Linked DNA regions of Drosophila melanogaster. The protein of the gene in region 1 binds, or shares a complex with, the protein of each later gene. Each region holds a gene or a part of one and is shown in the gene's direction. Other genes may lie near its edges.

Region 1 (4,313 bases):
TCCATATTAGGGATCATATATGGCCCATATATTTACATATATATATATCCACTATACGCAGTACTGCGAGTACTATCCGGAGTACGAGAAGTGCAAGGAGTGGCTGGAGCTCCACATGCCCGATGACTTCGAGCGACTAAAGATTGAGGAGGAGGCTGCCGCCGCTGACGGGACGGATGACGACAAGAAGCGCCAGAAACGCGGTGGCAAGGGACTGTTGCGCGTCAAGAAGAAAGAGGACGTGCCCAAGCGTATCTGCGTCTCGCGGGCGGCACGTGGCAAAAAGAAGTCAGTGACCGTGGTCACAGGATTGAGCACTTTTGGTAGGTTCTGTTCGCACATTATGAGTATAGAGTAGGAAATGGAGGGGGATGCGGGCCCACTGGATGCTATGAGTAGCCATTACCATACCATGTAACTTAGATATATTAGATATACTTATGAGCTTTATTGTTAACTAAGCATAATACATTCCCTGTCTGTTCCAGATATTGATCTCAAGGTGGCCGCCAAGTTCTTTGGCACGAAATTTGCCTGCGGCTCCTCGGTTACCGGAGACGACGAGATCGTCATTCAGGGTGACGTCAAGGATGACTTGTTCGATGTCATACCCGAAAAATGGGCCGAGATCGATGAGGACGTCATCGAGGATTTGGGCGATCAGAAGCGAACATAAATAATTTACCTTTTTTTTTAGCTTATTTTATACGCTCCATCAACATAAATATATGAAACGTTAAACGTAATAAGCGGATGGGTTATTTTGGCGGCTGCTACCCGAGGTTTTCTCCATCTGGTGTCGGATTGGACTTGGTTTCCATTGAAGTGGGTGCATCCGTTGCAGGCGCTGTAGTGGCTTCATTTGCTGGAGTAGCATTATTTTCTGAAGACGATGTTTCCACTGGGCTTGCTTCTTCTGCTGGAGTAGTAGTAGTGGCTTCACTTGAAGGAGTAGCGACATTCGCAGGAGTAACTCCATCACCTGGCGTGGTTTTGTCCGCTGGAGCTATTTGTTCCGCTGGATTGGATTTTGCCTGGGCATTACGCTTTACGCCAGATTGCTTGCCGGCCTTCGCAGTGGACTCCGCAGGCTTTTCCGCCGGTGTTTCCTTAGCAGCGCCTTTGGTTTCTCCACCATGGAAGTGTTTGTAGCTCAGCTGAATGATTTTCTCGTTCTCCTCATCGGTTAGTGGAGCTTTATTGTCGTCGATGAGCTGGGGAGGTTATTATATACTTAATTAGCCTTTCTGGCATATGATAGACTAATCCTTACCAGTTGCGTGTGTAGTGCACTTGTAGGCGGATCGTTGATCATTTGCAGGATCTCTTGGGACTTTAGACGATAAGAAGACAGGTCTTTAACGTAATTCATAATGTTCTCACGAGTTTGTGTCTTGCAGGGCGACTCCTCCAGATACTGCAGTGCCTGTGGAACAAAGTGTTTGGTTAATTTATCATATATTAGTTAAATATTTAAAAAAATCGACACCTCATAGGTAACCGTGGCCAAGTTGCGCATGCCGAACTTCTTTTTGGTGCTTTTGATCTTCTGTAGAATCTGCATTACCTCCAGATTGGTGAGGTACGAGAACGTGGGATTGATCCTGAAATGGAAGCGTTATCATCTGCATATTATTCGCTGTTTAATGGAAAAACTAAATAAAAACAAAACAATCCTCACGTTTCCATTTCTGCAAATTTTAGTATGACCGCAGAGCGAGCGCTAAAATATACCCCACCTACGCATATTACAGTTGGCCTTTATATATTAACATAACAGATAATTTATACATGAATAAAACGATCTACTCAACAAATTAAATGGTGTTGAATTAATTTGTTGTTAAAATTTGTTATAATTGGTTTTTGCATTGGAGTATATTTGTTGCAGTAAGGCTATGGTCACACTAAAGCATCGCTTACCATAACATTACAGCGAATTCCGCCACTGTTATTGGATTGTGCCACCTGCTGTTAAAGCTTTGGAGTCCACTCCGCGGAAGGAAGCAGAGGATGTGGATGCGGTGATACTGGAATCTTTTGAACGGCATGCATTCCCATACGAATGAGACGGCTGCGACGTCGACAACGGCGGGCGCGGTCACGAATGGAGCAGGCGGATCAGGAGCTGGAGCAGCGGGTGCCCATGGCAGCACGGAGGGCAAGATCCGGTGCATCTTCCTCAGCGAGTTTCATGCGACGGCGGGCTGCAAGATAAGCTGCCAGGTGAGCTGGTTCCCAGGAGCGCTGATAACGCAGTATAGTTCGAACAAATCCACGTCCCTCAGGTTCCTGATAACTACATATCCAAGGATGTGTTCGATGCTATCAATGTTTACATCATACCCAAGCAGCATCTTCAACGCTGCATTCTCACCGTCAACGCAATGGATGTAAAGATAGTCGGCTATCCAGTGGGCATCCAGGATCAGCAGAAGTACGCACGGAATGCCTTCCTGTTTAACCTATGCTTTGTCTGCGACTCGCGGGCCAGGAGCGTCCAGTACGAGCCGGTCGTCAAGAAGCTGTCCGAGTACCTCATAATGATGGAGGAGGAGTCGTGCTTCCTGTCTCGCGAAGATGACAAGCGCCGCCTACAGAACATCTTTGAGACTGTACTACGCGACCTTAACGAGCGGAAGGTGGCCACCATTGTTGAGGGCGATAACACTATATACCTGAAGATCGTCATGCACAAGCCGGACCCGCCGCCGGTCAAGGATCACATGGTGCCCCTGCTGCTGGCGAACCTGCGCGATGCTCCGCTGGACAACTGGGACCTTACCACACAACAGGTGCGGACTATTCCTGATTCTATAGTTATACAATCTTCACGATGTAAATAATTTAGTAATCCCATTGGACTGTTATGGTTTCCTCTAGATCCTGCCTTATATAAATGGAATCAACCATGTTGCCCGCATTGCCGCCGAAGCGGACGTGGAAACGGACCTGGTCAAGTCGTGCATACAGAATCTGGTCTACTACGGGGTCGTTCAGCTGCTGCCAATCCTGAAGTACAGCAACGTGTACATGACGCAGAACCTAAAGCATCTCATCCAGAGCGCATCACTGAGCGGCGCATGCCGGAAATACGTGGCCTTGCGTCCGGACAAGACGCTGCCCAGTGTTCAGCGCATCTTTCAGTTCTACGCCTCGATGACTCACGGCGTTACTCTGCGAGCGATCTGCCAGAGATTGTGCCCCCAGCACCACAACATCGATGAGCGTCGCATGGTGATCTTCGGGCTGCAGCACCGATTCATTCGCTGCATCCACAAGTACCCGGTGTTTACGGGCTCAGTGCCTTCCGGGCGGCAGAAGATGTACACCGGGCTGATCAGCTTTGACGAGATCTGCTGCAAGACGGGCCTCTCGCCCTGCACCATCGAGCGGGATATCGAGAAGGACACGAATGTGACTGTGATCTGGAAGTGACGACCGGAAGGACTTCTCCGGCCAGTTGGGTTTGTTGTAGTTTGTAAGCGAACCGATTGTTATGTTTCCAAATGCTTTTTTATATACGCGCATATACACATTAAAGTTTAAGAATTCACTGGTTTGGCTTGGGCTGGTTCCGGAATCGCTTTGCCAGCTGGACAGCAATCAGGAATCCTTTGCGCTAGAGATAATGCAATCCTGAACCGCCTGGGCCACACAGGCGTCCTCCGAGGCCATGCCTTAAATAGGAAATGTATGAAATTTTTAATGATACAACTTTGAAACAGACAGAGATAGTCATATAGTTACACAAACTTAATAAAAACGCACCCATGGATTGAAAGATGCTGATTTCTAGCTCCTTGGGATAGTTTCCATCCAGAATGATCTGACCCACTTCAGCGGTGATCGGCGCAGGTAATCCCACCAATTCAGCCTCGGCATTGGCATAGCAATCCACGTAGACCTTGGCCTGCTGGTAAATCTTTGGAGCCACCTCCGAAAAGTGAACTTCGCCGGCTCCCACAGCTGAAATCGAAAGTTATAAAGGGTAGGTCATCATCATCCATCCAGCATTCCATTATAACAGCAGACCTACCGTTAATATGAACAGCCCGTTTGGATTTCAGATCTGCCAACTGGATAAGCGGCTCCTTGGAGTACGTGGCGATGCAGATGATATCGGCATCCTGGCAAGCTTCGTGAGGACTTGGACATACAGTAATCTGGGTTCCGCTCTCGGTGTTCAATTTCTGCCGCAGTTGGTCCGCTAAACCCAGTGCCTTTGCCTGCGTGCGATTGTAAAGATTAAGCTGCCTCACCCGGAAGTTCGCGCAGAAAGCGGCAGCATGGAGTTGTCCTTGAACTCCACA
Region 2 (5,600 bases), on another chromosome or scaffold:
ATTAGCTTCGATTTTCGCGAGATCCTTGGCAATCTCTTCGGTGATCTGATTCACGCTTTTTAGAGTTTCCTGGGCAAAGCAGCTGGCATATCGTTTGTCGCCCACCACGACGTCCTCGGGAGTGGAGACCTGCAGCTTGTAGTTGGTGGCCGCTAAAGAAGCGCGCAGGGACATAAAGTGGTTGCCAGCATTGCCCAGAATCTGATTGTTGTAGTTTTCGGCTTCAGGATGGTTGCAAATGTATTCGTAACTGGGATTCTGGTTGGGAATCTTTTCGAACATCTCCAGGAGCTGTTGCCGTTGCTTTCGACACTTGAACCCGAAGAGTTCCAAATCTTCGTCGGTGAGAGAGGCCAAATCCAGATAGTTAATGTTCTCGGCAATAAGTTTGTCCACACAGGTGCTGGCGTAGTCCGTTTCCACGCTGGTAGAGCACAGTAGACCGTTGAGGATCTCCCTCTCCCGGCGTGTGTCCCTGTGAGCCTTTTGGCGAACCCAAGGACGTCGATTGTAGCCCAGGAAAGCACTGTCCAATTCCTTCTGCTCGGTGTGCGAGTGAAAGTTCTTTGTGGCCTCAAACTGAATGGTCGGCGGAACCTTGGCCATCGCCACCAAGGGGACATCCCCCGCGGACATTGTGTGCGTCTTCGTTGCCATAAACTCTGTCAATAATGGCAATTAAATTACCATTAAAATGCAATTGCGCTTAGATTAGATTCGCTGTTAAGAATCGGACGTTTACGAGCACTGCGAGTAGGGGTGGTCAAGATTCCTAACAGATTATGTTAAAAGTAACAGAAGTAGTAAGGGCTCTGTAAACATTTAAAACGTGAATATTAACAATTTAGTAATTTTATTTCCTTTTTCCTATTTCGCATTCTTGTACGAATCGAATTTTCTTCTAATGAATCACCCTACCCAACCAATTAAGATTAAATGCTTAACATTTGTATTTAAAAAGTATAACAAATTGATAAATTGATGACGATTAAGCTTCCTAACTATCCTATTTCTCGGACGATGACCTGTAGATTGGGGCACTGGTGGTGGACGCCTCCTGGAGCTTCTTCATAAACAGAGCCTTTCGCTGCTCATCCGCACTCAGTTTGGTACTTGAAACGGAGGCTTTGATGCGCTCTAACTTGTCGACGTTCGGCTCGGTTAACACCATTAGGCCGTACCCCATTCCTCCGAAGCCAATCAGCCACAAAACGGACTTAAAGTAGGGATTACTAAGCATTTTGGAAGCGGTCTCCTCTAGTCGCTTTTCTTCAAAGCACTCCAATAACTCGCATCCGCCTGTCGCACTGTGCTGTCTCCGACGATTTCACCAATTTTGTAGTAATAGTCCAAAACGAAGGGATAGTTCTCGTGAATATGCTGACGAAACTCTAGGAGCGGATTGTTATTAACGATCAAAATAATTATATAAATATCCTCCCACCTCGATTCGTGTTCATGCGATAATAAACGCCGTAGCTGGCTGCGAAGCAGACTGCCTCGAGGACAAACAGTGTTTTGGCACTTCCTTTGATGAATTTCCAAATTGCAGGTTTTGGTGTTTTGCGCAGCATTTTAAGTGGGAGTTGTAAATATTAAACACGTTTGCTTTCTTACAAAAAAAAAAGGAAAACAAAATCACCTACCAGCTTATCGATAAAACGAATTATCGAACTGGGCCAGTGCTGGCTAACATGCGGCCAACAGCTGGTCGACCGGCTAGTGTGTGTGCGCCTCTTCTTCTTGCCATGTAGTGCAGTGTTTATCTCACGTTTTTGTTTTTGCAAACTGATAACGCGACGCAATTTAGTCTGTAGTGAAAATTGTTTTTTTTTACATCGATGGAAAATCGGCCACGATGAGCGGCAATACACACGGACTCAGCTGGTTTCCACATTTTCCCGACAAATTCGTATCCTGGGGCCAGGAAATCCATTTATACGAAGTGCGCCGCAAAGATGATCACAGCCAAAAAAGTAGGGTTTTCCCCAAGGGATTATGCCACTTTACTTAACCGCCCCCCTTGCAGGTCGCCTGCCTTATATATCCGTGAACTACCTCGCCAACGAGTCGCGCTATCAATATGCCCGCTGCGTGGCCGCCTCCTACCACAGTGACCAGCCCATAATTGCAGTGGGTCTGGCGGATGGCAAAGTCGGGATTTGCAACTTCCGGGACACCTACGACAGCAGCTGGGAGTACAGTGGGTGGACGACAACGCCGATTCTTAGCTGCATCTAATAGTTCTTCATTTCTCGTAGCACCGCGTCAGCAGCGCATGTGCACCTGCCTCGCCTGGAACGAGCTGGATGCCAATATCCTGGCCATTGGACACGATCGCCATCGAAATGACACCTGCATCACCATCTGGGACATTGAGCGTGGAGTTCCCAAGGAGACGGCCAACTTCTTCGGCGTCGGCGAGTCGGCCAACTCCATTTGCTGGGATCGAAATCATCGCACGGTCATTGCGGGAATGAGCCAGAAGATGATAAAGCTGTTCGATCTGAGGCGTGAGTACACATAATGCGACTGGTTATATTTCAACTACGTAGTATTACTTTATTGCCCTTTCACTGATGAAATCTTTAAATCCCTTTCGCAGAGAGTAACGCCACCTGTCAAAGCATTCAAACAAAGACAGTGCAGGGACTTTCCGTATCCCCCAATGGCAACTATCTCTGCAGCTATGTGGACTCGGTGATCACTCTGTGGGATCCGCGAAATATCAAGAGTCCCCTCAGGCAGATTCAGTCCTCGAAAAACCATTTGCAGATCGCTTGGTGTCCGACCAGGACAAGCCTGCTTTCCTCGCTGCAACGCGATTCCTCCTACATCACTCTCTACGACATCCGGAGTGTGGACACGGACAATTCCGGAGAGATCTACCACGTAAAACGACAGATTAGCCCCTTTCCGGCTAGATACCAGCACAGTGGAAAGTTTTCGTTTGTTAATTGCCTGTCGTGGCATTCGAGGGATTTCGAGAGAGCTCTGCTTTTGGCAGATGCGCTGAACATCCTGGACTTTCGACTGCCAGCCACCTTGCACACGGCGCACAGCAATCGCCGGAAATTGCCACTTCTGATGCAGCGTCCGCTCTACACACCCGCCTCGCCGACTTCCACTGCGGCCACGCCCACTCAGCAGCAGCCCACGAGCAGCTGCAGCACGAATAGCGGGAGTTCCCTGGACTTTAGCACTCCTGGTGGTTCGCCCTTCAATGTGGACCTGCTGAAACCGGAACTCTTTGAGCTGGATCTGGTGGACGAGACGCGTCAGCGCGCTCTAGAGGATTACGGCATCAAACCCGATAACAAGCGATTCGGCGAACTCCACTTGACACCGTATCTGCGAAATGTGTGGTCCACTTTGAACAATGTCTACAGCGAGGATCGACTGACGGGCTTAAAGGCCACTTTGGGCATTAACTTGGGACACACCTCGGAGGCCTTGATGGCCAGCTCCCGCATTGAATCTCAGGTGCTCCAGTGGCCAGAGGGCATCAACAACTCCAACAAACTGATATGCTACAGGTAAGTTTATATGAATTTGTGGTTTGACGAGTGTGATAACCCCAATCTTTATGCAGGAGTGAGCAGCGCGACCTGGCCCTCCAACTTTGCGGTTGGGCCTTTGAGCAGGAGCTGGATCGCTTTATAGACCAGTTGTATGCAAACAAGGAGTACAGCCGGGCAGCCATGATCTGCGTGTTCCACTTGAAAATTTTCCATGCCTGCAACATCCTATCGTCGGCGGCGGACAACATGAGGGATCCCAGCATGTACAGGATCACCGTCATCGCCTTGTCCAGTTTCAATGCAGATCGCTGCAGTTCCACGTGGCGGAATCAGCGATCCAGCGCCAACATGCAGATACACGATCCACACTTAAGGGCTGTCTTCTCCTTTCTAACGATGGAGAAGGACAATTTTGATGCAGTGCTCAAAGAGGAAGGCGTTTCGTTATCAGACCGCATGGCCTTCGCCTGCAAATATCTATCGGAGACCAAGCTGGCTGACTATGTTGCGCAGCAAATCCAGGCGGCCATAGATGGTGGCGATCTAAATGGCTTGTTGCTCACTGGAGAGTCGCAGGACGGAATCGATATACTGCAGTCCTATATGGACACCAGCTTCGATGTGCAGGTGAGCGTGCGCTATAAAAACATATGTAGAAACTTTGATATACATTGAGCTGTTTCTTAGACGGTAGCCCTGGTGGCCATTAACTACTTCCGGCAAGAGCTTTTCGAGGACAAGCGCATCCAGTACTGGATCGCCAGCTACTTGGATCACCTCAATAGCTGGGGCTTGTGGGAGAAGCGGGCCGAGCTGGACATCAAGATCGAGAGCATCCGCCCATCCTCCCGCAGTTCCCGCACCGTATTTCTGTCGTGCAACTTTTGCGGCAAGTCTGTGTCCAACGCCTTGCTGGACGAGCCGCGTCCACGGAGCACCACCACCAGCACCAACAGGCTCTCCTCATGCCCCAGCTGCCGGAAACCCCTGCCCCGCTGCTCGCTCTGCCTAATGCACATGGGCACAATGGTGAACATGAGCAATGGGGAGACCCCGACCACCACGCCCGACGTGCCCGGCTGGCAGACCAAGCCCTTCTCAAAGTGGTTTTCCTGGTGTCAGACCTGTCGCCACGGCGGACACACCGAGCACATCATGCAGTGGTTCAAGTGAGTTCAAAGTTACCAATATTTAATTGAATTCTGACCAATGTACGCGTTTATTTGCCAGGCAAAATTCAGAGTGCCCCGTGTCGTCGTGCAACTGCCGCTGCTTCGACATGGACGGCACCAAGCCGAACACATTGAGAGACATTTCCTAGCTGTCCGGAGCACCCACCATACACAGCCCTTACTCGCCCAGGCCATATGCATATGCATTAAGTTGTTGATTTGTTCCAAACGCGTGCGCCTTAAACAAACTCAGAAGTGTTCATTGTACTTAGACAAGGGATGTGCCCGTAGCATTAGTGTTTATGACCTACCAGCTTTTAGCTGCTCAATTGCATTTTATACTTACATTCAAATAAAGGACTATGTGCGACAAATTACTATAGATATTTCTCAGCTTTTCTTTTGAAAGTTGAAACCGTTATAGTTTCGTGTTTTGCAACACTTTCAGGTAGTACTTATTAGCATTCTTGTTGGAACTGATAACGGTCACACCGCTTCGCACGTTTTTATGCGGCGTTATTATTTTTTGTTGCTTTCTGACGTAAATGTGCAGAAAAAGTGCTTCCACTCGTAGGGCTTAAGTGAATGGTTAATAACATTATGTGATAACGCCTGAACAAACAAATCAAGATATAGTGAATAGATTAAACCAAAAGACAGTGCCGATACACAAGATATAATATAAAGACGGTAAGTTGTGGGTGGGGGTACAAATTTCCATAAAGCATGTGAGTGCTACGGAATTTGAGCACAGCACTTTAACTGGCAGTTAAGATTAAATATTTGTACATGATAGCTTTGAAAATAGCGATATTTAGTTACTTGACCTTTTCAACTCATTCGTGTCTACACCTGAGGCTTTTGTCCAATCTGAGTGCCCGAAAACGGGTTTCCCATTAAGAACTCC

The links. Proteins that work in one complex are often made in the same cells at the same time.
Region 2: Nprl2 (region 1) and mio share a complex: the UniProt entries of both Drosophila melanogaster proteins name them as parts of the GATOR complex.

What each region holds. Positions count from the first base shown.
Region 1 is NC_004354.4:16,881,977-16,886,289, reverse strand, and holds Nprl2 (nitrogen permease regulator-like 2), read left to right. Parts: upstream 1-1,924; 5' UTR 1,925-2,049; coding exon 2,050-2,226; intron 2,227-2,288; coding exon 2,289-2,795; intron 2,796-2,883; coding exon 2,884-3,438; 3' UTR 3,439-3,606; coding exon of another isoform or gene 3,607-3,680; 3' UTR 3,681-3,771; downstream 3,772-4,313. Other genes in the region: DENR (density regulated protein), read left to right, coding at 62-323, 489-676; Polr3I (RNA polymerase III subunit I), read right to left, coding at 774-1,214, 1,274-1,426, 1,490-1,604, 1,682-1,689; CG4872 (uncharacterized protein), read right to left, coding at 3,607-3,680, 3,772-3,969, 4,040-4,313. UniProt on the Drosophila melanogaster protein: An essential component of the GATOR subcomplex GATOR1 which functions as an inhibitor of the amino acid-sensing branch of the TORC1 signaling pathway.
Region 2 is NT_033779.5:2,215,569-2,221,168, forward strand, and holds mio (missing oocyte), read left to right. Parts: upstream 1-1,721; 5' UTR 1,722-1,858; coding exon 1,859-1,976; intron 1,977-2,029; coding exon 2,030-2,203; intron 2,204-2,261; coding exon 2,262-2,513; intron 2,514-2,605; coding exon 2,606-3,536; intron 3,537-3,592; coding exon 3,593-4,148; intron 4,149-4,208; coding exon 4,209-4,690; intron 4,691-4,751; coding exon 4,752-4,842; 3' UTR 4,843-5,057; downstream 5,058-5,600. Other genes in the region: daed (daedalus), read right to left, coding at 1-657; CG15386 (uncharacterized protein), read right to left, coding at 1,007-1,240; CG42371 (uncharacterized protein), read right to left, coding at 1,258-1,391, 1,445-1,574. UniProt on the Drosophila melanogaster protein: An essential component of the GATOR subcomplex GATOR2 which functions as an activator of the amino acid-sensing branch of the mTORC1 signaling pathway.